Linked DNA regions of Mus musculus. The protein of the gene in region 1 interacts with the protein of each later gene in a biochemical or structural test. Links are inferred from orthologs where the notes say so. Each region holds a gene or a part of one and is shown in the gene's direction. Other genes may lie near its edges. The genes, in order: Rb1, Prdm2, Lin9, Brf1, Ccnd2, Mapk14 and Abl1.

Region 1 (4,227 bases):
GATGACCGGTCACCAGCTCTGTTACGCGTCTGAGGACCCAAGTTCCTTTGCCATTCTGTCTCAAACTTAAGAGTAGCTTGCCACAAATACCAAGGTGGCATCAATTGGCCAAGTGTCACATTCTCTGATAATTATGAGGCAGGACTGTATCATTTCTGTATATTATTTGATCAGGCTCCCACAGTCTATCTTTTATCTTCACCAAACCTAGACTGTATGTAGCCTGAGCTCTTGCCTAAATCTGGGACAAAGTGAACTCAAGTGCTATTTTAATTCCATTCATTCTCCGTGGCTGCATCAGGGCCTGGGGCTCTACCTCCTGACAAACATTTGGTCTCTAGAAGGCTTCTGAAGTTAGGCAAGTCTGAAAATTGAAGGAGGCCCATGTATCCTTCACTCATCTGACATCAAGGCAGAAAATAAGCCCAGGCTTGCAACCTACCCAATTAAGTTCTCGATTCCTCAGTCCTTGCTCAGCTGTTCCAAGATAGTTTACACCAGAACAACAACTGTATTTTATTCACAGCACTTCAATTAGTGAGTTGTATGAATAAGGACTGACAAAGGGAGAAAATTATGTTGACTGACAGGTAAAACGTAACTAGAAAAGCTACCATTGCTGAGCCAGCTTTTGGTGGCGGTAGGTAGTTCTAGTATAAAGTATGCTCTTTTCCGGTGTCTGTGCGTCGGCGACATGGTCAGACAAATATTACTTGGGTTCGAGTCCTCTGCCAGGGACCTGCTATGTGACGCGGGCAAATTGGCTCCCCGAACTCCCCACTTCCAACCCGCAAAAGTGGAATGCCGACCTTCCCAGTTTGACCGGCTGTCTCGGAGAAACCATTATGAAAGGAGGCCGGATCGTGCGCATGAACACGGCCAACTGGTTTTCTGCTTTCGTCTCAAACGCGTTTGTAAGCGATTTTTCAAAGTCGGGTCCGCCTGGCAAACTGGTTTTCAAAAGCTACTTTCCCGCTAAGATCTGTCCCGCTCGGACCGCGCCTCCTGTTTCCCCATCAAAAGACTATAGTCTGTGCGTGCATCGCCCATCTTCCCTTGTCTCCAGAAGGCCACCAATGGCCCCACCCTGGACCGCCCACCCGGGCCGAGCCCACCTCCCACTGGCCCGGCACGTTTGTTTTTGTTTTGCCGGCCGCGCGGGCCGGGCGAGGGGCGCGCCCTGTCCAGCGTTCTCCCAGAGGCCGCGGCTCCTCGCAGCGGGCCGGCCCCGCCTCGGCTGGCGCCGCCCACGGGGACGACGCGGGCGGAGACAGGCCCGGGCAGGCGCGGCTTCCCCGCGGCTTCCCGCCCGCGCCCTCGCCCTCGCCCTCGCCCTTGCCCGCCGCCGCCGCCACCGCCGCCCCGGTTCCCCACTGACGCCCGCGGCCCGCGAGCCTCGCGGACGTGACGCCGCGGGCGGAAGTGACGTTTTCCCGCGGTTGGCCCGGGCGCTCGGTTGCCGGGCGCGTCCGGTTTTCCTCGGGGGACGTTCCCATTATTTTTGTAACGGGAGTCGGGTGAGGACGGGGCGTGCCCGGCGTGCGCGCGCGCCCGCCCGCCTCCCCGCGCGCCTCCCTCGGCTGCTCGCGCCGGCCCGCGCTGCGCGTCATGCCGCCCAAAGCCCCGCGCAGAGCCGCGGCCGCCGAGCCCCCGCCACCGCCGCCGCCGCCGCCTCGGGAGGACGACCCCGCGCAGGACAGCGGCCCCGAAGAGCTGCCCCTGGCCAGGTGAGGAGCGCGGCCGCCGCGGGCCGGAGAGAAGGGAAGGGAAGGGAGCGGGGACGCCGGGTGCATCCCGGCGGGGACGCCGGGCGGGCGCATCTCGGCGGGGCCGGGCTGGCGGTAGGAGCGGCGCCCCGGGTCTCCGGGGTCCCCTTGGTCCCCCATCTCTGCGGGGGTGGCGGCGGCGCGCTGACACGGTCCCGGGCTCGCGGGCGACGGGGAGGGCATCCCGAAGGGGTCTGGGCTGCGGCTTGACAGGTGTCGGGCGGGTGGGGCTCCTGCTCCCGAGCGAAGTGACAGGTGCAGGCTCTACTCCAGCGACGCCCAGGCGCGGAGCCGGCGGGTCCCGGAGAGCCCCGGTCAGATGCAAAAACAATTGAAATAAATATTTAAAAAAAGAAAAAAAAAACTCGACCGGTGTTTGTTTTCTTTCTTCCTCCCTTTTTTCTCCGTGGAGATCCGAAGCACCCCCGGGGTGGGTTGACTTTCTCTTTTGCAGTCGTCCTGCGATGCAACAGTTGGGAGCCTTGCCCTCTCTGAGCTTGCGCTGCATCGGCAGCTTGGTCCTGGGAGAGGCCAAGAAAAGCCTTGTAGGCAAAGCGCAGGGTCGTGGGTGTCAATTGCTCACGGGGTCCTCAGCTCCCGGGCTTTGTGGGGGTTTCTTTAGAACAATGCTTTGAGGCCCGGGGGGATTTAAAGCCATCTGTGGAGACTGATGGAGCAGAACTCTTAGAAGAACTGGTATGTGGGCAAAAGTTTCAGGAGACATTTAAATGCAAGGGCTTGGAAGTTTCTAAACTTTGTTCCCCTTTTTTTTCAGGGTAGAACTCTTCTTGCGTGCTGATTGGCCCGCAGCATGCTTCATTATTTCTTGCCTTTTGCCTTTGAGCATTCACGGATTCTGGTGCCTCCCCCTCCCTTTTTTCTTTTTTGGTCTTGTGTTTGGTACTGTGTTCTCTCAAAGAACTTTTCTCTCCATTTATTAAGTGGAATCTAAACTTAAGTTCATGTGGATCCAATAAGAACAACAGAGAGATATTTATTGTATTTCAACATTTTTTTTCTTGACTGTGCTACTGTGTGATTAAGTAACAGAAATTGAAACAATATGATTGTTGTTATTGTCAGCACTAGTTTTGAGAGTATAGATCCATTGTAGATGGGAGTTGTTTTTGTCTCTCACGGTCCTTCAATTTCTAGCCCATCATTAAGTTCTCGAGTTTTTGTTGTTGTTGTTGTTTTTGTTTTTTTGGGAGGGGGTGTTTTTGTTGTTTTTAATTACTCTGACTCTGTAACCCAGGCTTGCCTTAAGCTCTCTGTTTTACTGCCTCTGCCTCCCAAGTTCTGGGATTGTAGCCCTGATGGGCTATCAAGCTCCTTTCTTCTCATTGAGCATCAATCAAGGCTCTTTGTGAGACCCAGACTCTTAACAGAGTTCAGGTCAAATCCTAAGAGACTGAAATAATTTTGGAAATTGCTTGTCTAAGTCTATTAAAATTCATATTAGATGGATTTTCTTATGGACCAAATAAAAATCATGTTCTTAAAAAATAAATACAGAATAAAAACTGTTCCAGGGGAAGAGTTTGCTTTTGTTTCTAATTAAACTCTGATGTATCCAGTGTGTGGAAGCTTCACTTTAGAAAGAGCAGTAACATGTATTCTAAAAGATTCCATGCCATCTATGGACTTATTACTGATTATTGTAGAGTAACTGTACACATTGAAGTTCTGGTCATTGCCTGTGGGAAAGACAGACCCAGTTTCTTTCTCTTTTATGTACTTTTAACTTTGGAGAATTCTCAAAAAGTTCTCCTTTAAATTAAACTTTACAAGACATAGTCTCATCTTGGTTACTCATTGCCACTAAGGTTCTCAAAAAGCACTTACAGTTGATCTCTGACTTACCTATTGTCACGTGTGTTCACCATAGGGATTTGCTACCTCTTCTGAACTGCCATTAAATGAATGTTGTGTTATCATTGGAGAATACACTTAGACAAACACTGATGATATATAGATTAGTCACTGTGCTGTCTTGCTACAATCAAGAGAAGTGGTAAACACTACAGATACAAAGCTGCTGCCAGTATAACAAAACATGCTGCTATGCAGTAAACTTTATCTTTTAATTATAGAAATATGCTGAAAAATAATGATAAAGCTATAGTTTAGTAAACACACAAGCCAGTAACATAATGGCTTCAGGCATTGTATGTCCTTGTATATATGATTCTCTCCTACCAGTGGCAGCTTGCTTACAGCAGCATCTCCCTAACTGCACAAGTAGCAAATGGATTGTGCCACAATGTTATGCTGGTTAAGATGGGCTCTAAGTGATGTTTCTGCACCATTATAATCTTACAGGACTACTGTTGTAAACTGCCTTACTGAGTGACACATCATGTAGTGTATGCCTGTTCTTAGCAAGGATAAGAGGGCTGCCTCAGTCTGAAGCTTAGAAAATAGCTTAGGTATGGATTCAACCCGGTCCGTCTCCACTGAG
Region 2 (3,962 bases), on another chromosome or scaffold:
CATAAGCAAACATTTGAGGTTTTATTTCCTCTCTCCACGGGCTCTGTGGTGATCCAGACCTTGACAACACTTGACATTGTCCTCACCTGTCAACAGTACTGATGAGATAATCACCATGTCACCAATCCTTTACAGAGTATACCACAATCCACGTTGATTGACGTACTTTCTAAACAACAGGTACATTTGATGAGCTTGTCTGGTCTTTCCAAAGTTTTGGAGGCACATTTGAACATAATACATTATCTATTTTTCAGATCCTTTTCTCAGAGGACTAATACGGCCCACTACACTTAGATTTTTTTTTTTTTTCCTTTCTTCTCAGAGGATAGCTTTATCTTGAAGTACTCATGGCTCTGGGTACCATCTAGATGTGACAAGTAACTTTCATCTCTCTACAACTTCAGATTGATTGGCAACTATGTTCCCGTCAAACCTCTTTTCTGGGATGTCAGAAGTGGTCTCCAGTTCAATCCAATCCATCTCCAGCTCACTTGTTTGTAAATAGTGGTGCAGTTCCCAAGGGCAAGATGAAGGCCATGCTGGGTACCACAGAGCCTTGGCACTGACCTAGGCCCATAGCTGGCAGTTAGCAAATGCCTCCTGGTAAGGGATGAATACAGCCGCTCAGTTGCATCTGCTTTGCTGAAGTTTCGGGTTTGTGTGTGTGTGGCTATATTGGTCCTTTGCACACCATTTAAACGGTCTATTTGCCTGGCAGTGGTCTAGTGAGTGGCCTTCAGAGTGGATTCTGCTCTTGTTTTTCTTGAAACAAGGTCTAAGGGTGTGGTCCTGCCTTCCTGGAATTCACTATGTAGCTCTGGCTGCTTCTGCCTCGAGTTTGGGGATTAAAGTGTGCGCCACCACGCCAGTCAGTCGCGGTCGTCTGAAGTAGGGTGGCTTCTCTGACCAACTCTTGAGTTTCTCAGCCCTAACTCTATAGTGGTCAGGCTGGCCCGGCCATGGCGACGCGGGCTTCCCTTCGAGGTAATAACGCTCTGGGGCGAGCGGCGAGTCCGTGATTGACAGAGAGGGCGACACAGTCCGCCGGGGTCACGCCTGACCGTCGTGTTGAGCTCCTCGGGGTCGCAGGCCACGAGCTACGCGCGGGGTCGGGGTCGGGGTCGGGGGTTGTGGGCGCCGTGCCGACGTCACTTCCGGCCGGAGCCAAGATGGCGGCGGCGCGGCCGCGGGCGCCAGAGCGACGGCGGCGGCTGCGGCTCTGGGCTCGCTGAAGCGTTGGCACGTCGCGCTCTGGTGAGGAGCGGCGGAGCCGGGGAGGGCGGGCGGGCCTCGGGGGAATGTCCCTTGGTGTCAGTGAGGAGTGTGGCCACCGCGGCGGGGGCGACCGGGCCGGGCGCTAAGGGGATTGCGGGGCGGGCTGACGCGCCCCCTTCGAGCTTCCTCCGAACGGCCGGGAACCGGTGGCTGGCGCTGGCGCCGACGCGAGGCGGCGCGAAGGCTCCCGCTCCGCGGCTCTTAAGTCCCCGCGGCCAAGTTTCGGGTCCGTTTGGTGACGGCGCGGCGGACTCGGGGTGCGCGGCTGCGGGGTCGGCGGGGAGCGCACGTGGGCCCCGGGCGGTCCCCATCCGCAGGGCTGCGCTGATCTCTGCTCTTTTGTGTCCCGGGTTGAATGTGCGAGCGCATCTGCAATCCTCGAGTTGGTTCTGTGCCTCGAGCCTTTGTGTTTTTCACCCCCGTATAGTTTCCGTGTGCTATAAACCTGCCAGTGGGCTCCTCGAGTGTCCCCCATCGACCCACTGGTGCATACGTGCATGTGTCACAGGTGTGCGCTAGCATACATAGGACTGGTTTGCGTTCGTCAAAAGATCCATCTACTATGTCTCCGAGGGTGACGAGCGAGACACGAAATAGACCTTAACAGGTCAGTGTTCTTCCACGATCCACGCGTGAAGCACCGGCCAATGGCCTAGCACTTACCGTTAGGTCGGGCCTCGAGCTGGGGAAACAATCCCACAGATCGCCGGGAAGCCCCGTTGCCTCTTACTACCCAGCTGGAATTTACACCTAGAGAAATGGGGTTTCCCTTCACCCCCCGCATTTCATGTATTGAGGATTTGGGTGTATTTGACACGTGAACTGCCTTTTGCCAAGTTCCAGTGCCTTGCCCTTAGGACCCTTTAATGAAACACGGGAATGTTTGTTTCTAGTACACAGTGTCCCCAGAACATGACTAAAATTGTATCTCAAAGTTTTTTTGTTTACTTCGAGGTTATTCTTTAAAGTAATATATACAGCAAAGACAACCTCCCAATGGTTTTTTGTTTGTTTTTTGGTTTTTGTTTTTCTTTTACCTACAATAGCACAGACTACAGTTGGATCATTCTGCCCACGATGATATTGGAAAAGAGGTTTTAGGATATTAAGAGGAGGAACTGAGAGACATTATTCTGTTGTTTTCCTGTTCTATAGAGTTCTGTTTTTGAGATTGCACGCAGCTGCCACCCTCCAAGCTCTCTTTCACACACTTTATTTGATGAAATTTCTTTTTCATGAGCAATCTCGCCATAGCTTTGAAAACCTTCAGAGATCATTTAATAAGCCCCCTTTATTCCAAGCCATGGGAAGAGAGCTGTAAATCCATTGTTGGAAGCAACACTCAGCTGCATTTGGTGTTATTTCAGGGCTCGACCCTTCCCTGCCCCCCCCCCCCAAAAAAAAGCCGTCGATGCATTTACAAAGTTATTAGAACCAGGGACATAATGAGAATGCTCAATGAATGTTCGCTGTTTGTTGATGGAAGACTTGGCTTCGTTGAGGTTTGAGGTGGTTTGTTTTACATTTTCTATGCAGTGCTCGGGATAAGAAGGTGTAACTTTGTAATAATGTATTAGCTCTGTAAGCACAAAACAGCAAAACAGTCGCACTGGAAGACAGTTGGAAAACAGAGGCGCACAAAGAAGGAATAGAAACCGCCTGTAAACTTCCGCCTCCTCAGATAGCCATTGTTAACATTGTAGCAGATTGTCACTAGTCAGTCCCTCATGGTGTGCCTGCTTGTATTTCTTTATTCACATACATTCATTTATAGAAGCATGCACTTCTGTATAATAGTCTATAGAGAATTGATATGTTGTGTATATCGATGAGGCTTGTCTTTCATTATGCTGTTGTGTGTTTCTATGTCTTTAACTGTTCTTCAATTTGATGTTTAATGGCTGATATGTGGATGGGCCATCATTCATTAACCAATCCCACATTGATTTTCAAGGCTTCTAAAGTCTGACATTTCTTTTCATTAATTTTCGGAAGTTTTTTCTCTGTGATGAATTTAAAAATTCTGCAACTATTTAAGATGTGAAAACTGGAAAATCTGCTTTGGTAGTGTCTGATGATACATCTTTTTTTGTTTGTTTGTTTGTTTCAGCTACCTAAGAAGTAACCTCCCTGATTTCTCTGTGGTGTCTGTAGCTCACACATATCTGCACACAGTTCCTTTTGATGATTATTTTATACTGGCTATTTATTTATTAATGGGATTTTTTTTTCTTTTTTCAGAATGCTGATATCTTTTCAACTTTAGATCTGACTTAGACACCTTTCAGGGGTGTGTTAAATCACAGTCTCCAGGGTGGAGAGCACTGTGGAGTATTTGCTATTTTCATGTCTTCTGACTAGTTTCGTGTTAGTTTTAATATATGTAAAGGGGAAAAACCCAACAGCAAATATGCAGCTTTCACTAGCAAACTCCATAGTGGAAGTGTATGTGGGCCTTGAGGGGATACGTCAGACCTGCATGCAGAGAGCATCTGCAGGGAATGCTGCATGTCAGACCTGCATGCAGAGAGCATCTGCAGGGAATGCTGCATGTCAGACCTGCATGCAGAGAGCACCTGCAGAGAATCTTCAGGGAATGCTAGATGCAACCGGGACATCACCAGCTGAGCACCTGCTGAGCACTTCTGCTCCTGCTGACATGCATTTAGGGCTTCATAGTTTGA
Region 3 (4,077 bases), on another chromosome or scaffold:
ACTAGTCTTTCCCCTCACCTCTCGAAAGGTGGATTTTCCATCCTGCCCCTCCCTCCACCCCAGATTCAGCGGTACTCCCTACTGTCTATAAACTGGAGGCTGTAGCAGCAAACAGCTGGCTGCAAGGAGCCATTATAAGTTCTTTCCACTCATTAAGCAAGAGTGGAATTTTTGCCTGCATTTTACTGAGGAGAAGTTGAAGCACAAGTATTAAGCTTGCCTGGGACTGATACAAGTAGCAGCCCAAGTTGCACCCTTAACTTTCACAGCCTGCTGCCCTTTTCCTGAGCCTGAAGTCTTCCACTCTATTGCTCGCCCAAGAGTCTCATCTTGTCTTTCTCCAACCTGTGCCTCACATTCTTGAATGTGTTCTAGAAAAGAAATGAAAGCCTGCCCTTCGTACTACTTAAGACCTCGCTTTATTCTTTTTACCAAGCCCAACTTAGCCTGGGCTGGCCTGTCTAGATCTGCTCTCACCTCACTGAACCATCTTTAAACTTTTTAGTTTGTGGAAGTCACTCATCCACTCGTTTTTGTTTTGTTTTAAATTCTCCATTCGCCGACTACCCCCTCCTCATAAATCCCTGGAGAATAGACCCACCCCGGAGATCAACCACGCTTGTAAAAATAGTAGTTGAAAAGCCACCGTGGTTTAAATACTAGAAAGTGTTACAGATGGGAACCGTGAAATCTTTCCCGGCTTCTTTCAGCAAGGGAGGAATCCCCATCCAGTTTCATTACACTTGGCTAGTGTCACTTGTGTCTTCCCCAAGCATCCTTAGTCACTGTGAGGCTCCCAGCTCACTACCGGTCTCGGGTGGAGCGCATTAGAGAAAGAAAGCAGGACAGTTCACTAGCCCTCGGCCTACACCAACTTGGTGACCTCTCAAGGTCTCGTCCCGGCCGCTCGCAGCTCAGGTTCCGGCCCGGGCCGCCCGGACCCCGCGTCCGTGACCTGCAGGCGAAGCGGACGCCGCGGCCCGGGCACTCGGTGGGGGGGAAGGGCAGGGGCCGGGGCGCCGGAGAAACGCGATCTGGGGAGCCGAGTCCACGTTACTTTGGGCAGAGCCCCCTCCGTGCCAAGCGACCAGGAACCCAGGTCTCGTCCGCCGCGCCACCGGCCCGGGCCTGCGTCCCGCTCCCCTCGGGAACCGGCCTGCAGTTCCCGCAGCCGCAGCGCGGGCCGCGCGCCGGGAGCGAGCGCAGGCGAGGGGGGCGGCGCGGGCGGGCGCATCGGTGCTGGCGCCGCGCCCCCCGCGCTCGGCCCTACCGGGCCTCTCGGCGAGGCGTCCCCTGTCCTCCTCCGGGCCCGGCCCGGGGTGCGGGCGAGGCCCCGAGGCCCCCTCCCGCCGGGCTCGGGCGGAGCCGGACGGCCTGGCGGGAGCAGGCGCCGCGGGCCGCGAGCTCCTCATTCGAACCTCCCTCGCAGACAGTCTCCGCCCCACAATGCACCGGGGCGGGCAGCCTTTGAAAAAGCGGCGCGGCTCGTTCAAGATGGCGGAGCTCGACCAGTTGCCTGACGAGAGTAAGTAGCGTCTCAGAGCAGCCCTCCTTCCCGCCGGTTGCCCGTCCCGGGGTCGCACCGGCCGAGTCCGGTTGCCGGGCAGGTGGGATGGCCGCCAGCCCACCGCAGTCCCCGGCCTTCCTCCTCAGGCGCTGCCGCCGCGTCGCCGCCTTTGTTATGGTGTCTTGTGTGTCTGTTTCTGGGGTTGTGCGAGCGCCAGCGCCGGAAACCGAAAGCCCGGGAGTCCAGCCTGTCCTGACGGAGTCGGCGGCTGCTCTCCCGGAGCGACTGCTGTCGCCGGCCGGGGTGGGCGAAGAGCGGCCCCCCAGTTGCGGGCGCCGTCCTCCTCGCCCGCCCGGTTATGTAACTCGCCGGCCGGGGGCCGGGAGGGCTCGGGCTGGGCACCGGGGACACAGCCCCTCTTGGTGCCCCGGGCCTCCGATCTGATCCTCTGACGGCTCCTGCTTCTGCAGGCACTTGTGATCGCTCCCCCCGACCCCCCGCGTCCATCCTGGAAGTGTTTTCTTCCGTGTCACACAGGCTTGGCCCCTTCCCCTGGGACTACAGGTGGCCCTGGACCTTTCCGGAGATGATCCAGCCGGGATACAGTGCCGAGGTAGCCCCATTCCCAGTCTCCCTCCTGAGTGGATGTGTCTCTAGACTGTGGGGTGGGCATTACACACGGATGTGAGCACCGCAGCCCATATAAGTATGTTATTCTGCCTGACACCCACCCCTGTTCACTGCCTCACTTCTCCTTCTATACTCACAACCTCTGAGACGGATGTTCACCTGTCCGCAGACAGTAAAGCCAGCTACTCTGCGACCTAAGGACAAGGGAACAATTTTGTAATTTTCATATTGCACACATTATTAAAAGGCATTTTAGTTACAAAATGGTCTTGAAGCAACACGTACTCTGTGGTGTGTATTTGTAGCCCTTGGTCAACGAAAGGTTCGCAGGTGTGGTGGCGCACATCTTTAATCTCAGCACTCGGTAGGAAGAGGCAGGTGGATCTCCGAGTTCGAGGCCCACCCAGTCTACATACCAAGCTCCAGGACAGCCAAGGCTACACAGAGAAATCCTGTCTTGGAAAACAAACAAACAAACAAACCTCCAAACTGAGCAATCTGTATTTAGAACGATTGTATCATTTTTATGACAAATAAAGTAGTGGTTTTGTTTTTTAACCATTTGGTGTGCCCCAACAGGAAGTCAGGTCAGAGAAACCCGTTTCAAAAGCAAAGAAAAAACTCGAACTCTGTAAGATGTATCTGTGGGCAACGCAAATATGCCTTTAAAAGAGAGATAACTCTTAATTCTGTTTTCTTTGATATCGTGTATTTCTTATATTGTTAAGTCAGAAGTTCAGGTTGCCAGTATTCAGAATGTTTGTGTTTTAATTTTGATTTAGACCAGTGCTAAGTCTCAAAAGAACGTTCTCGATGGTGGATGGAGATGTCACTTTTCTAGTGTGCAGTGAGCAACCGGTAGTCACCTGTGACTAGATGGCTCAGGTGCTGCTCTTTTATTTCTATTTAATCTTGACTTATATTTAAATAGCTAGTGATTACTGTATTGATAAGGCATTATCTATAGAATATCCCTAAGTTTATCGTTCTTGTTTGGAGAATATGGTTGATTGATATTTACGATGCTTGAAAATATAGATAATTCAAGTAAGTAGAATGTTACCTGCCATCTGAAGAGATTTTTTTTCTTAAGCTGGGCACCGTGACGTGTGTTAACCTAACACATGTGAGCTAAGACAAAAGGCTAACTCTTAAGTTGGAGGCCAGCCTGGGCTGTACTGTAAAATGTTTCATCATCTGTAATGGGTACGCTCTGTGACTTCTCAGGGCTGTCTCACCTGCAGTCACACGGTTGTTGGTCAGCAGCCCACCAGAGCTGAGCCACTTAGGCTTTTCCTCATGCCTGTGGTGATGGTTAATTTTGATAGCTTGATTGCATTGAGAAATACCTAGGAGATCAGCAAAGCACACCTCTAGATGTGTCTGTGAGCATACCTTTAGGAGAAGGATTTTCTTACTTGTTCTTTGTACAAACTTAGGGTTTACATTGAGGTTCAGATATTAGCTACACTGTTACACTATGTATAACCTAATTGTTGATACTACCATGCAATGTCTCTGGGACTTGGGGAAGGGTGTGTGTGTGTCTTTTTTTAGCTAAACTACCGGTTTGTCAAAAGCAAGAATTGTAATTTTGATTTGTTAGCAATGACACAAATAGACTTAAAAATTTGACTAAAATGGAACTGAATTTGGAGTAATATTACTAATAAGATGGAGCATGATCTTGGAAAGAGAAAGTAATTTCAGTGTGATTTGAAAAAACACTAATTTTTTTGTATTTTTCCCCCCAGTTTAGTTAAGGGAGCTATGTAGTATATTAGCTAATAGCTCCTGTAACATCAATTATAAAAGTTATCATTTCCTGAGTATTTACTGTAACTAGGTGTATAAAAAAAGAAATACACATGCATGTACTCACGCACGCCTGCACTCACTCACGCACAGTCCCGTTTGCTTTCCGTACATTTGATCTTCAT
Region 4 (3,500 bases), on another chromosome or scaffold:
TCTGGGGCAACATGCATGTTGTTTGGAAGGAGAGGGCCAGGCCTACAACTCGATTCTGATGAGCTCTGCCATCCCACAACCTTGTCAAAAATGAGACATTGTGCATTTGACTCCTTACCCAAGACTCTTTTGTCTTTCAGCTGGAACAGGTCCTATCAAAAAAGCTAGAAGAAGTTGAAGGTAATTAACCGCTTCTCACACCCGTGCTTCCTTTTTGCTTGGACATCAGTGTGCTTACTTTTTGCTTTTAACGTCTTACTCTAGGTGAAATATCCAGTTACCAGGATGCCATTGAAATTGAGCTAGAAAACAGTCGACCAAAAGCAAAAGGGGCTCTGGCCAACTTGTCAAAGGATGGTGAGTTCCCCTGCCATTATGGGCCATGAGGGCCCTAGACCAGCACCCCTGACATTCCCTACTCACTGATCCATGACCCCATCCCTGGCTGCTTGTCACTCCCTACACTGGAGCACTAACTTGGGTATCATGTTACTGCTGGGACGCCTTCCCCCGCCTCACCGTTCACTGGCCGTAGAAGAGCTTCAACCTTGCATGTGCCGTACTGGGAGCCCTGCTGTCCACTCAGACTGTTGAAGATGCAAGGCCACGACTGTAGGGATGCTCTTTCTTATGCCCTGTGCTGTTTGCTGTGGGCTTTTCAGAGTTGCTGTAACCGTTTGTGTTGTTAGATGACTCTCCTCTGGGCTGTGCAGAATGAAAAAGCATGGGTGCCTGCTTCCTTCTTTGGCACCTGTTCTGGGGAAGCTACTCTGGGCATCTCTGCCCATCAGACTGGCACTGTGCTAACATCTTGAGACATGCCAAGCAAGTGTGAATGTCCTTTTTGGGATCCCTCAGTGTTTGCAGATGCTTGCTTATGTTCTGTGTCCACATTAGGATCACCTTGTCTACACCACTCCAGCCCAGTCTGCCTTACTTGTCAGCTTGGGGGAAGCTGTGGCACTTGTCTTTCTGTCCTTCTCTAGCTTCTGTTCTGTCCAGGCTTTGCTCCTGTGCAGTACCACGCTGCTGCCTTCCGTGGGGCTGTTGTGAGTAGCATCTTTCCCCCTTTGGTCCCCACAGCAACTTGCAGCTTGTGTCCTGACTGCTCCTGCGCAGTGTGAGCTCTCCTGCCACCTGTAGTAGTTGCAGTCATTTTGCCATTGAGTTTTCTAAGTATTTGATTCTGTCGTCTGCAAACAGTGACTCTGCTGCTCTTAATTTCTTCTTAAGTCTGCCTGACCCCGCAGCATCTTGGTGATCTTGGGACAGTAGTATATCCTCATGTTAGCTCCCATGGACTAGGGTGCACGTGCTGGGCACATTGTTCCCTCATCTGTCATGGTGAGTCAACGCCCACCCATGCATTGCTGTCAAGAGGGGTTTTTTTTTGCTTGCGTTTTTTTAATCTCTGTGGATATGAGGGTTTGAGAGGGCCATGGTATCTGTGGAGATCCTGTGATGGGTGAATATGACCCAGTGTCCTGACTGTCACACCATTGGGTTCTCCCTCATTCCTGAAGGCATCATTTGGGCCTCAATAGCTGCCCTACTCATTCCTATCCAGGGTTTGGTTCTGTCTGTTTGCAGAGTTGTTTGCCACTTGTGGTTTCTCTGTGTAGTGGTTTTCTCTTGTCCTAGCTTATTGATGATTGGGCGAGCATCCTGTACATGCCCAGTCTGCTGCCTTGTGTTTACCAGGCCTCACTTCTGCCAGGCTTCATCCTTCCAATCTTATTCCACCTTCCAGGCCTCCTGCCTGCCTTCTCTGTTCTCAGTCTGCTGGCTGCGTGCATTTGGGGCAGTGAACTTCCTGTGAGATCTGTCCTGTTGGCGGTTTTTTAGTCTCCAGATATTTCCTCTCTTGCACATGTGAGGGAGCTATGGAAGTTCTGGGGCTGTGTTGTGAGCTGGTTACTAACTGCTGTGGTGCCGTGCAGTGACCAGGACCTGTTACTGATTTGTTCCTCCTCGGTATTTCTTGGGCACACAATATCATCCATGGACACTGCAGAGGGGCACCTTGTGTTATGGGCACAGAGGTGAGGCTGTCCCACTGTCAGTTTTGATAGATATTGAGAACCTGTCACATAGTGGCTCCTTCAGAGTTTGGTCGCCCCTTACTTCCTCCAGTGGCCCCTCATACACATACAAGGCCATTGCCTTGTTATGATTTCCAAGGCTCATCTTCCACAGGAGGCACTTTGCCACCCTCATGCCTGAAGCCCTTGGGGCACACGTAGACCCAGGTGTTACTAAGTCTCTGTCCTTCTCTTTCACTTTATGTTCACCTGGGAGACTTCTCCAATACAACAGACACCATGTTTCGTGTCTTGATCCGATCTGAAGCATCCTTCTTCCTTTAGTGGTCTGAAGCAAGCTTGTCTACTTACTAAGCCTTTTTAGTAGAGTTCTCTTGGTCTTAGCTGTCTGTGCTAATGTCCTTTGTGTAGTTTCCTCTTTTTCTTGAACTTTATCTGTGTCCCTCTTCCACACATCATGGCTTTGGAGCACAGCAGAAAACAACTAGCTGGATATTCTAGGTCCACTTCTACAGCTGGGGACAGAGATGTGCCTTTCAGATCAAACACTAGAAGGCACTGTGTGCACGCTGCAGGCTGTATGGAGACAGAGCTAAAGCACCTTTGGCTTCTGAGTGTTGACTGTGGACAACCCTGGTGTCAGGTGAGGCCAGCACCACAGTCACTGTGTTCTGCCACTGAGATTTGTCCCTGCCACTATCTTTGTGTCCTTTGTAATGGCATCCACCTGTTCTCCCCACTTCAGGCTGCCACTGGCTGCTTTCTGTCACTGAATTCGTGGTCTTTTATATACTTTTGTGCAGAAATCTTTTGTAGACATAGTGTGTTCCCTTGCCTTTCCTTGGCATGATTTTTATGCAGTTCATTGGCAGCATGACCCTCTGTATTGGGTAGGTGTTGTTAGTGCGGTGAGGAGTGTGGCACTCCTGTTAAGTGCATCTGCATCAGTCCCAGGTAGCCCTATGTACGGGCTCATCCCATACTTACTTCCTTGGTACTGGGCAGATGGAATTGTTGGGTCTGGTGGAGGTGGTGTTGGCAAATAGTCTGAACAGCACTGTCAGCATTTATGCAGCCAGCCCCCCTGTTTTCTCTCCTTCCTTTCTGTTTTTCTGTGTCTAGACTGTCCTTTCAGACATTACCTGTAAATAAACTATGGCTCACCTTTGTCTTACAATGTCTTTCACAGGGCAGGCTTGTAATTCTCTTGTAAAAAAATCATGATTCTTTCAAAAATCTATTTATCTGTGTTTTATGGGTTGTGTTTTAGTGTTGTTGAGGTATTTTGCCTAACCCTAGATCACAAACATTTTATTTGTCTTTCCTGAATATTCTTAGACTCTCAGATACCACATTTAAGCCAGTTTTGCACAGAGCATGAGGAATAAGCCAGGTTATTCTTGCACGTGGATAACCGGCACCATTTGCATCAGGACTGTACTTTCTCTGCTGCAGAAA
Region 5 (3,500 bases), on another chromosome or scaffold:
TCTCTTTTACAGTGGTTTGCACACCTTGCACTGGTGAAAGAAGACCACCCCCTCTATCGACTCCCTCCCCCTTGCTGCCATTGCCTGGGCCTGCTTAATCTCCTGGGCAAAGACTGGCTTCTTGAACTGAGCCCTTTGTGAGGAGCCGTCCTTTCTGGGTCTGTGCTGCCACCTAGTGGCAGACATGTGCAAGGCTGGGGGAGGAATTGCCTAGAACGCAAAGAGGGGCCTGAATGACTTCACCTTTGAAACACTGCCAGATTTCAGCTGCTTCTGGTTTGGTGTAAGAGGCCCCTAAAGGTGCTTTCTTCTGGAAGATCTGCTTCTTTCAATAATGGTGCCAGAGGACGAGTTTGTGCTCACATTGCCCTGGAAGAAGGAAGGGTTTGGGATTCAAGCCATTTCTGATTTTTACGTAGTTAAGGAATTTTTTTTTTTTTATCCTAACTTCCTGCAAAAAACCCAGGCAGACTTGAAAGCTTGTGGGGAGGAAAAAAAAATAAGATTAGAATTGGAGGCCAGCTTGTCTATTCAAAAAGAAAAAAACAAAACAAAACAAAACATGAAAAAGAATCTTCTATGTGTCTGGTGTGCTGGAGGACTGGAGGTATTTTTCAAGACACCCTAATTTTTCCAGGACCGGCAAAGCTAACTCAATTCTCCAAATAAAGTGTGCCAGCTTCCCATCTCCTCCCATCCATAAGTTATGCACCCTAGAAGAACCTTCCTATTTTACACGTGAGGGGAGCTTGCTCCAGGAAACACCATAGCTGGTCCAGCTGACAGGGGCTTTATAGCCGGTCCCCAAGTTTAGCAGATGGAGCCAGGTGAACTGAAGAGTCAGTCACTGCCCGGCAGTAGTAGCATCCTGCGCTTTTGAATCCTACTGATTGACCAGGATCATTTCCTTTTGTTTGCACCCCCCCCCCCAACGAAACCAAAACAAACAAAAATTGGGACCTTTGCATAATTTCAAGCTAGCCTCAAACTTCTAGCCTTAAAGAGGTAGAATCCCAGACATGCACTTCCAGGTGTGCATCTCTTTGGGGTATTATTATATTTAGTCCAGTTCATTTGAACATTATTCCCCATGTTTATTTTACAAAAGGAGAGGCACAAAGTAGCCTACTAGTGGGGTGCAGTGGAGCCCCCTAAAAGAGACCGTTACAGCCCAGTACATGGGCTGACCCTGTTTAAGCACCTCCACATTGCCCCAAATCATAGTGTGCAAAATGGAGTCACAAGTGACCACCTCAGGCCCTTTAGCCATGAAGACAAAGGCCAGTGAAGATTTAGGTGAAAGGGTGAGTGTCATATCCCAAGACTTCTTCATGGTGTGTCAAAGGGGAAGGTGTTGGCAGCAGAGAGGGAAAATGATACTCTTCCCCCACAAGGAAAGGCCAGCGAACTGGCTGCCAAGGAGTTGGGCCAAGGAGGCTTCTGCTATTCTGCATCTGTAAGCATCATTTTTTTCCATGAGGAGTAAAGAGACTTAGCCAACAAATTCTCACCGCAGCACCACAGTGGCCTTAGCTAGATCTTACTATAGGCCCACCTTTCTGAGTGGGCAGGCAAGAACATTTTGTGGAGTCAGGGGTAGGGGTGAGGTAGGAAGAAAACTAGAGTAAAGGCTGGTCTTGGCAGTAGTTACCTGGCCTCTCATTATTTTCAGTGGAGCCTGACTTTTTTTTAGCCCAAGAAGAGCCAGGAGCAACTTCAAAGCATGAGGGGCACAGTGACAGATGAGGCTGCAGTGGAGCCTTAAGGAGCATCTTCAGAGCTGGCCGGGAACCCAGCCCCCAACCCGGGCCTGGAGTCAGTCTATGGATTCTTAGAGCTCTGCCCTCTTCCTCCCACCCTTTGCAGGAGTGGGAACTGGTAGTGTTGGGTAAGCTGAAGTGGAACCTGGCCGCAGTCACCCCTCACGACTTCATTGAGCACATCCTTCGCAAGCTGCCCCAGCAAAAGGAGAAGCTGTCCCTGATCCGCAAGCATGCGCAGACCTTCATCGCTCTGTGCGCTACCGGTGAGAGGGGGCTCACGGGGCTTCCACGGGGCCATGGGAGGTGGGGTTGGGTGTCTAGGCAAGTCTGAGTAAGCCAGCCTGGAGCCTCGCTCGTGCTTTCTCGGAACTAGAACATTTTCTCTCTCTGCTTCACTCGTAAGTTCTTTATGAGGGCAAGTATGGTAAGGGGAAGGGAGTCGGTGCCTGCTAAAATATTGTTTATGGTGTCTAAAGTGCCCTTTGAAGATTATAGATACTGCTCTCTGGTTGTGTTTAAATCTTTAATCTTTTGAGGAAAAGGACGGCTTGGAGATAAGCCCTAAAGGGAATTTAAGGAAGGTGGGGGCAAATATAGGTTAAAGGACCAACGACAAGATAAACATGGTGCCCGCCCTGATAAGGGGGAAGGAATTCCTTCACCGTGGAGCTGGTTTATTGCCTTCTTGCTGTTTCCTGTTGACAAGGGAGTGAACCTTTAAGCAAAGATCCGTTTATTCTGAGCTCTGGAGAGGATTTTTGATACATAGCTTTATTGGCTTCACACCTGGGTAGAAGACCCTAGCACAACATTTCTCAACCTGTGGGTCGATACATCCCACAGGGCTTACGTATCAGATATCCTGCATATCAGATATCCTGCATATCATATATCTACATAAGAAATCACAAATAGCAAAATTACAGTTACAAAGTAGCAACGGAATGGTTTTATGGTTGGGGGTCACCACGGTATGAGGAACTGTATTAACGGGTCACAGCGTTAGGAAGGTTGAGGTTGAGAAGCGCTGCCCTAGAACCTTGGGAATTCGGGGGCCAAGTGTCAAAAGTTCATCTCCTCAGGGTTAGCAGGTAAAGAAAGAATTGATCATGAGTGGGGTGCAGCTCAATTCATCCAGGGTTGTTGAAATGTGTTGATGTGATAGGGGGTGGGGGGAGGTGGAGTGTAACATTTTAATTCCTTGTAACATTTAATTATGTGTTTGTATAGCTGATGCTATAATGAACAATAGGGCCTGTGCTTTGTTGGAAGTTCAGAGGTCAGGCAGACTTCGTTACTTAGCACTGAGTGACCTCGCTCAGGCTGTTTGACCTCTCTGAAGTTCATCTGGGATCTGCAAAACAGGCCTTTGGATGTATCCTTCCCTAGCCTTGGTGGAGTGGGCAGGGAAACTGACCCACAGAAAAGCAAGCCTGGAGCTTCCTGCGAAAGTTCACTGATGTTGAGAATGGCTCCAGTTAAGGTGGATGCGGAAATGGATACAGCCTCTCACTGGCGTGCCGGATTCCATCTCCCTGTTTTAGAGGGGTGTGTGTGTGTGTGTGTGTGTGTGTGTGTGTGTGTGTGTGTGTGTCACGCACACGCGAGTGCGTGCACGCACTCAGTTTGCGTTGGTCCAGCAGCCCTCGGGGCCCTGCATCAGGCCTTGTAGCACACTTGTGGTGTCCCAGCTCCTTCGTGGAGTCCCCTGCTGTTCCTACAGTCAGGGAAGAGGAT
Region 6 (3,500 bases), on another chromosome or scaffold:
AAGGTAAGAAAGAAGAGATGGACTGTTTGCTTCTCTTAAGTGTTCCCCAGAATCGTGACCAACCACACTTAAGCCACGACTTGCTATCTAAAAAGTCATTTGTCCTTAGGAATATCAGACTGTGAGACTTGAACTAGGCTGAACAAGCTGTTTAAGTAACTTTGGAAGTAGATGTCGGTATCTTGTTTTCATTTTTAAAAGATAATTAAATTAGAAATGCAACACATTAATTGTAATAAAGGGATATTATAGTCTAAATGTCAGTTAAGCCTTCCTGGAACACTGATAATTAGATAGGTTCCTAAAAGGAAAAATTGCAGATCTCAGAATGATCTAAATAAAACCTAAGTAAATTAAAATTAAGTCTTTAAAAAGTAAGTAGAGGCTGCCCCCTGCCCAGACTGACGAGTCAGCCCTGCTGTCCCGAGCGCCATGTTGGGTTCTTCTAGCGTTGCCGCCATGAAGAAGGTGGTTCAGCAGCTCCGGCTGGAGGCCGGGCTGAACCGCGTGAAGGTTTCCCTGGCAGCTGCAGGCTTGAAGCAGTTCTGTCTGCAGAATGCTCAACATGACCCTCTGCTGACTGGAGGGTCTTCAAGTACAAATCCCTTCAGACCCCAGAAAGTCTGCTCCTTTTTGTAGTCATCTATCTTGAGGTTTCTCAAACCACTTTTCATGAACCAGTGACTATTCAAGAGAGCTAAGTTTGAAGTCTGTACAAAAGCTTCTCTTTAACACGTGCCATAATACACTATCTTCTGCTCGTCAGTCCTTAACATCTACCTCTCTGAATTCCATGGGTTTCTGTCTCACAAGGTTTAACTATTTTATATACACTGGCTGTAGCATACAATAAAGCAGCATACAAAAAAAAAAAAAAAAAGTAAGTAGCTGCCCAAGGAGCTAAAGAGGTCAGCAACCCTATAAGAGGAACAACAATATGTACTAACCAGTACCCCCCAGAGCTTGTGTCGCTAGCTGCATATGTAGCAGAGGATGGCCTAGTCAGCCATCAGTGGGAGGAGAGGCCCCTGGTCTTTCGAAGATTCTATGCCCCAGTACAGGGGAATGCCAGGGCCAGGAAGCGGGAGTGGGTGGGTTGTGGAGCAGGGCAGGGGGAGGATATAGGGAACTTTCGGGATAGCATTTGAAATGTAAATGAAGAAAATATCTAATAAAAAAGAAAAAGAAAAAAAGGAAGTAGCACTATGCTTTTTTATGATTTTATTTATTTATTTATTTATTTATTTATTTATTTATTTATTTATTTATTTATTTATTTTGGATTTGGGTTTTTCAAGGCAGCAGTTCTCTGTGTATCCCTGACTGTCCTAGAACTCACTCTGTAGACCAGGCTGGCCTCAGAAATCCACCTGCCTCTGCCTCCCAAGTGCTGGGATTAAAGGCGTGCGCCACCACTGCCCAGCAATGAATTTTTTGAAATGTCTGCAGGGGGCTAGAGAGATGGCTCATTTCCCAGCAGCTACATGGCTGCTCACAGCCATCTGCATCTAGAGCATCTGATGCCCACTCTTCGTCTCTGTGGACACTGCACAGACTTGGTGCACAGATATCCATGCAGGCAAAACACCCATGTACATGAAATGGAAAAGGAAAAGAAATGTACTTCTTTGTAGAGTGTTGCGGCCGCCAGCAGCTCGCAACATGAACGGTTCGACTGAGAAGGCTACTCGAGCTGTAAGAGAGGAATCTAGACGGGGCGAAAGAAGAAACGGAGCCAAGATAAATTCATTCTGATCAAAGCTCAAATTTTATTGTTGGGACACTAGTTATAAAAGAAGGGGGAGGGGACCCGATTTCCGCCAAATAATCTCTGGTCCAGTAAAAAGGTGCACGTGTGTGGCTCCGCAGGTTCTAGCAGTGGGCGTGACAGAACAGATGAGCGGGAAGCTCCACCCCTGAGCAAGCAGGTTTCAGGCTGGGGGAGGAGAGACTACAGTAGAGTTGTAATGTCCATGTAACCACAGTGATGACATAGTAACCTCCATAGTTTCAAAAGGTTTGAGTGTCCCCTCCTAGTGACCCATGACTCTCACCCTTCATTCAATGCAGGCAGCCACTGACCCAATTCTGACTCTGGATTAATCTTGTTTCGTATAAATGGAACTGTCGAGGGTCATGCACATTACTGAATTGTGTGCTCATCTGTATTGTGTGCTCCAGCATTCCCAGTTGTTCAGCAGTTTCCTTTTCATAAGCACACCAAAGTTTGTACGCTGCTGTCCTATTAGTGAGCACTTGTGGTTCGGAATATAAACCTATTGTGAACATTCCTGTGCACACCCGTGTGGGCATATGTTTTTATCCTTGAGTAAATGGGGGGGGGGGTTGCTTTGCTTGAAGCTTTATTTTTAAAGTTTCTTGGAGTGTTTTATCATGTCATGCATTCTAAGTGAAAACTGGGGTGCCCTCTTTCTGAAAGTGACTTTTCTGCTTTCCTGGTTGTGAGGTAGCAGAACTTGCTGCTCCCATGCCTGACTTCTGCTCTTGCCCTTAGATTCTGGATTTTGGGCTGGCTCGGCACACTGATGATGAGATGACAGGCTACGTGGCTACCAGGTGGTACCGAGCCCCAGAGATCATGCTGAATTGGATGCACTATAACCAGACAGGTACTGACTGCTTCAGTCGCCTCCCCAGATGGGGAAGGGGTGCTCCCTAACATGGCTTTCAGGTGACTTAGCAGCTGGGGCCTTACTTCTTACGTCTTCCGTGTCATTCTTTCTGTGACACTACCTGAGGGGAGTGGTCTCTTAATCCTAACACCTATGTTTCCTGGGAGGATTCACCATTTACCAGTAACAAAGTTTTGCCCCTTTGTGAGTTGCTTATTTCTTTTATCTTAATTATATTCTGAGTTGCACGACCTGTGGAGTCTTTTCTTGAGTGACAATTTTAATAAGTTTGTTTCTATATAAAAAAGATTGTCAAACCTTGGGTGTCTTAAATCCTGACTTGAATCTCTCACTCATAGTTAGAGTCATTTGTGTCCATGAATATGAATAGAAACCATGTCGGTGCTTGTATCCTCTTTACTGTTCCAGTGGATATTTGGTCCGTGGGCTGCATCATGGCTGAGCTGTTGACCGGAAGAACGTTGTTTCCTGGTACAGACCGTATCCTTTAACACGTTTTGGCCCTGTTTCTCATGTGTGTGCTGTGGTAGATGTGTGCTTCCCTAACTCATTGGTGGGGAAGACTCAGTTCTTTGCAGTTCCAGCGTGGCTTTTGAGGTCTGTCCTCTTGTTGAGTTGCTCACCTTGCCAAGAAAAGGCTTTGGGGTTGAGAAAACAAGCTTAGAACTCACCTGTCATATTTTTGCAGCAAGTCCCTTTATTAATGAGTTTAGTCTATTCCTGAAAATCCTTGGTGAGTGTACACGGCCACCTGTATTCAGAGGTATCTGGTTCTCACATTTGCTTATGTACTAAACAGACTGTGGGTCCCTCTGCTGACACGCCCGCTGAGTCCTGTCCTATTTG
Region 7 (3,500 bases), on another chromosome or scaffold:
CGGGACTAAATGCTTCAAGGCCTGGGCCAGTGGAGCAGCTAATCCCTGGGGAAAGAAGTGTTTCATTTCTGAGCCACTTCGGATTTAGTTGAATATTAAATGAAATTCGTAAAAGGCCTTCTTCCTGATAGTCTTGGTTCCCTCTGAAACCGAGCATTCCTGAGGCCAGCACTCACTCGGTAAAGCCTCTCTCTGCCTGGGCTTAGCTTCATTGTGTGGCTTTTCCTCCTTTTCTTTGTGTTTCCTTGCCTACCAGCTGTCACCGGGTTTAGGGATGTTTCCATGGCTGGAGAATTATATACATGCAAGCCGGTTGCTGTTTTTAAAACCCAGAGTGTTTTGACCTTCAAGTGTGCCACAATTATCTGGGTTTGCATGCTTTGCTGGTGGAAGTGGCTTCCTAGCAGAGTGACAACCTGTGCAGGAGGGAGCCTGATGGGCTTGGCCCAACTCCGTCATGCAAGATGTTCTCCACGCCACTGTGGTGACCTTTCCTACCCAATTAACTCAAGTGTGAAACCTCAACATGAGATTTCATAGCCAGGAATAAGTAGCGTGTATGAAATGCTGGCAGCCCCTCGGAAGACAGATCTTTTTCTGCTCCACGAGAGCCCAATCCAAATGCTCCTGTCGCTCAGCAAAGTGTAGCCTCTGATGCTGCAAATTGAGATTTCCTGACTTCTGGCTCGCCTTGCATGGCCAGCTCCGTTCCCCCTCCATTCACATACTAAAAATGCCTTACCAAAAATCCTATTAGGCACAACTCTTGTGTGTTTAATTTTTCTCTCATTGCTGGTGATCAAGCTGTATCACGCAGTCGTTGCCCTGAGCTGCCTCATACTCTCATTCCTTGGTTCCCAGTTACCTCAGGACTTCATGGTTAACAGCCATGAACCAAAGATTAGACCCTTCCTCCCGTGAAGATTCAGGAGGTGATTATATGGGAGAGTTTCTCAAACACTTGAGTCAACATCAGGAAGCAAGAAGAAAGTAGGGATATCACATACAGCTGCCCAAGGCACACCCTGTTACTGTCGTCATTTTATATGTGAGGTAATTAACAACTCCAGGTCATGGGACAGGACCTGCCCCCATTGCCACCCTGTCTGCTTGTGGTGTTGCTGCTGTAGCCCGACTGGTATTTGCTGAGGAACTGTTGCTCCACAGCAGGGTATTTGAAAGCTTCTGGGGACTACACTTGGTCTTCTTTTGTCAGCGTCATACCTGTCAATAGTAGGGGAGCTACACACCTAGGGAGTCAGCCAGGAGCACCCACAGATGACCCTTTTTCTTCCTCAGAGACCTTGCTGCCCGGAACTGCCTGGTAGGGGAAAACCACTTGGTGAAGGTGGCTGATTTTGGCCTGAGCAGGTTGATGACAGGGGACACCTACACGGCCCATGCTGGAGCCAAATTCCCCATCAAATGGACCGCACCTGAGAGCCTGGCCTACAACAAGTTCTCCATCAAGTCGGACGTGTGGGGTAAGGTCCAGGTCCTGGGCAGTCATGGCCAGGGGCTTCCCCTTCTGCTTCGCAGGCTCTTTACTGCTATACCTCGTCTCTCCTCCACCACTATGCCCTCTTTCTGGTTCATTTCTGGCTTAGTTTAAACTCCTGCTTCCTCCTTTTTTTCTTTTTTTAAAGATTTATTTATTTATTTTATGTATGTGAGTACATTATACTGTACAGATGGTTGTGAGCCTTCATGTGATTGTTGGGAATTGGATTTTAGGACCTCTGCTTGCTCCAGTCGGCCCCACTTGCTCCAGTCAACTCTGCTCGCTCAGTCCCTGCTCACTCTGGGCCAAAGATTTATTTATTATTATACATAAGTACACTGTAGCAGTCTTCAGACGCACCAGAAGAGGGCGTCAGATTTCATTACAGGTGGTTGTGAGCCACCGTGTGGTTGCTGGGATTTCAAATCAGGTGCTGGGACTAAAGGTGTGCACCACAATGTCCATCTTTAAGAACTTCTCATGCCAAGGGTGACCAAAGAAGGTGGAGTTGAGTAGTGAGCCCTGTGCCCCGCCTACTCCCTTACCTCTTGTTATTTGAAAGCAAATCCCAAATATATTATTTTGTACATACACATTTCAGTATTTGCTTCACCTGGGAGCCAGATGTGGCTCCCTCACTACATTGATGTGTTCTGTATTTCCCTGCTGTTCATTTATTGATAAACTCTGTCACCATTCCTTTAGACTTTCCAGAATCTAGACTTTGTTCATTGTGTCTCTGTGCTGTGATCTGTTTTGTGCCTCTAGCTTCAGTCTTCTTAGAAGCTGCACAGTCAGACCCGGGTAGCTCCTGACACTTGAGCTGACTTTTCTTTCATTAAGTACATTAGCAGAGGCGGATGCTTTTAGGTTGGTCGATCCATAATGCTTGATTTTTCTCCCTCTAGTAGTACAGTGGTTATCAACCTCTGGGCCATGACCCCTTTGGCAACCTTTTATCTCCAAAAATATTTACATTATAATCCATAACAGCAAAATTACAGTTATGAAATAGCAATGAAAATAATTTTATGCTTAGGGTCACCACAACATTAGGAAGGTTGGGAAACCACTGCACCAGAGGGCTATGGTGTGGCAGCTGCTGGTGACGGTGGTGGCTCACTAGCAGCTCTGTCACGTGATCAGTCTCCACCTCCTTTCTTCCATACTCAGTTGGCCATGGAGCATAAATCTGTGTGCACCGGGCGGTGGTGGCGTACGCCTTTAATCCCAGCACTCGGGAGGCAGAGGCAGGCGGATTTCTGAGTTCCAGGACAGCCAGGGCTACACAGAGAAACCCTGTCTCGGAAAACCAAAAAAATCCCAAAAGAATGCCAAGACTTTGAGAGCTCACAAGATTTTTACAAACTGTTTAGAGCTGGAAGGGACTTTGGAGATAATCTCACCCACCTAGAAACAGCCCATGGCCTGACAGGCATGTTGCTACACAGTCACAGAGCTAGGATCAGAACATGGCAGCTGACTTACAGCCCTGAGAGACCCTGCGCCCCAGGAGGCTCACGCTGCCTCTCGCCCTTACACGCTGTAGTGTGCATGAGTAGATAGCTTTGCTTTGTCCTATCTTTCCTGGGCTATTGTCACAGAGAGCCTGGTAAATGTCATTGCTGGGACTGAGAGTACCTGTACATCCTGTGTGTGCGTGTGCGTGTGCGAGTGTGTGTGTGTGTGTGTGTGTGTGTGAGAGAGAGAGAGAGAGAGAGAGAGAGAGCATGTGTGTGAGTGTGCATGCTGTGTGTGTGCACATGTCTGTGTGTGAGAAAGTGGCTGTATTTGCGTGTGTGTGTGTGTGTGTGTGTGTGTGTGTGTGTGTGTGAGAGAGAGAGAGAGAGAGAGAGAGAGAGAGAGAGAGAGTGTGTGTATGTGCGTGTGTGTGTTACATGTGTTTGGGTGTTTTGGTGTGTGTGTGATATGTTTGTTTGTGTGTGAGCATGCTCTGGCATACGTAGGACTGTCAGAGGACGCTTCTCTCCTTCCACCT

What was found.
Region 2: the proteins of Rb1 (region 1) and Prdm2 form a complex in vitro, tested with the Homo sapiens proteins (2 studies listed by BioGRID, with this or other methods). The link is inferred for Mus musculus from reciprocal best matches to the Homo sapiens genes RB1 and PRDM2.
Region 3: the proteins of Rb1 (region 1) and Lin9 form a complex in vitro, tested with the Homo sapiens proteins (2 studies listed by BioGRID). The link is inferred for Mus musculus from reciprocal best matches to the Homo sapiens genes RB1 and LIN9.
Region 4: the proteins of Rb1 (region 1) and Brf1 form a complex in vitro, tested with the Homo sapiens proteins (2 studies listed by BioGRID). The link is inferred for Mus musculus from reciprocal best matches to the Homo sapiens genes RB1 and BRF1.
Region 5: of the proteins of Rb1 (region 1) and Ccnd2, one has a biochemical effect on the other in vitro, tested with the Homo sapiens proteins (4 studies listed by BioGRID). The link is inferred for Mus musculus from reciprocal best matches to the Homo sapiens genes RB1 and CCND2.
Region 6: of the proteins of Rb1 (region 1) and Mapk14, one has a biochemical effect on the other in vitro, tested with the Homo sapiens proteins (3 studies listed by BioGRID and IntAct). The link is inferred for Mus musculus from reciprocal best matches to the Homo sapiens genes RB1 and MAPK14.
Region 7: the proteins of Rb1 (region 1) and Abl1 form a complex in vitro, tested with the Homo sapiens proteins (3 studies listed by BioGRID). The link is inferred for Mus musculus from reciprocal best matches to the Homo sapiens genes RB1 and ABL1.

Annotation. Positions count from the first base shown.
Region 1 is NC_000080.6:73,323,023-73,327,249, reverse strand, and holds the start of Rb1 (retinoblastoma-associated protein), read left to right. Parts: upstream 1-1,427; 5' UTR 1,428-1,608; coding exon 1,609-1,727; intron 1,728-4,227. UniProt on the Homo sapiens protein: Tumor suppressor that is a key regulator of the G1/S transition of the cell cycle. The hypophosphorylated form binds transcription regulators of the E2F family, preventing transcription of E2F-responsive genes.
Region 2 is NC_000070.6:143,209,910-143,213,871, reverse strand, and holds the start of Prdm2 (PR domain zinc finger protein 2), read left to right. Parts: upstream 1-1,162; 5' UTR 1,163-1,257; intron 1,258-3,962. UniProt on the Homo sapiens protein: S-adenosyl-L-methionine-dependent histone methyltransferase that specifically methylates 'Lys-9' of histone H3. May function as a DNA-binding transcription factor.
Region 3 is NC_000067.6:180,639,873-180,643,949, forward strand, and holds the start of Lin9 (protein lin-9 homolog), read left to right. Parts: upstream 1-1,277; 5' UTR 1,278-1,446; coding exon 1,447-1,525; intron 1,526-1,977; exon of another isoform or gene 1,978-2,120; intron 2,121-4,077. UniProt on the Homo sapiens protein: Acts as a tumor suppressor. Inhibits DNA synthesis. Its ability to inhibit oncogenic transformation is mediated through its association with RB1. Plays a role in the expression of genes required for the G1/S transition.
Region 4 is NC_000078.6:112,966,122-112,969,621, reverse strand, and holds part of Brf1 (transcription factor IIIB 90 kDa subunit), read left to right. Parts: intron 1-140; coding exon 141-180; intron 181-264; coding exon 265-357; intron 358-3,500.
Region 5 is NC_000072.6:127,144,549-127,148,048, reverse strand, and holds part of Ccnd2 (G1/S-specific cyclin-D2), read left to right. Parts: intron 1-1,866; coding exon 1,867-2,026; intron 2,027-3,500. UniProt on the Homo sapiens protein: Regulatory component of the cyclin D2-CDK4 (DC) complex that phosphorylates and inhibits members of the retinoblastoma (RB) protein family including RB1 and regulates the cell-cycle during G(1)/S transition.
Region 6 is NC_000083.6:28,725,842-28,729,341, forward strand, and holds part of Mapk14 (mitogen-activated protein kinase 14), read left to right. Parts: coding exon 1-3; intron 4-384; exon of another isoform or gene 385-863; intron 864-2,515; coding exon 2,516-2,630; intron 2,631-3,062; coding exon 3,063-3,134; intron 3,135-3,500. UniProt on the Homo sapiens protein: Serine/threonine kinase which acts as an essential component of the MAP kinase signal transduction pathway.
Region 7 is NC_000068.7:31,790,939-31,794,438, forward strand, and holds part of Abl1 (tyrosine-protein kinase ABL1), read left to right. Parts: intron 1-1,299; coding exon 1,300-1,484; intron 1,485-3,500. UniProt on the Homo sapiens protein: Non-receptor tyrosine-protein kinase that plays a role in many key processes linked to cell growth and survival such as cytoskeleton remodeling in response to extracellular stimuli, cell motility and adhesion, receptor endocytosis, autophagy, DNA damage response and apoptosis.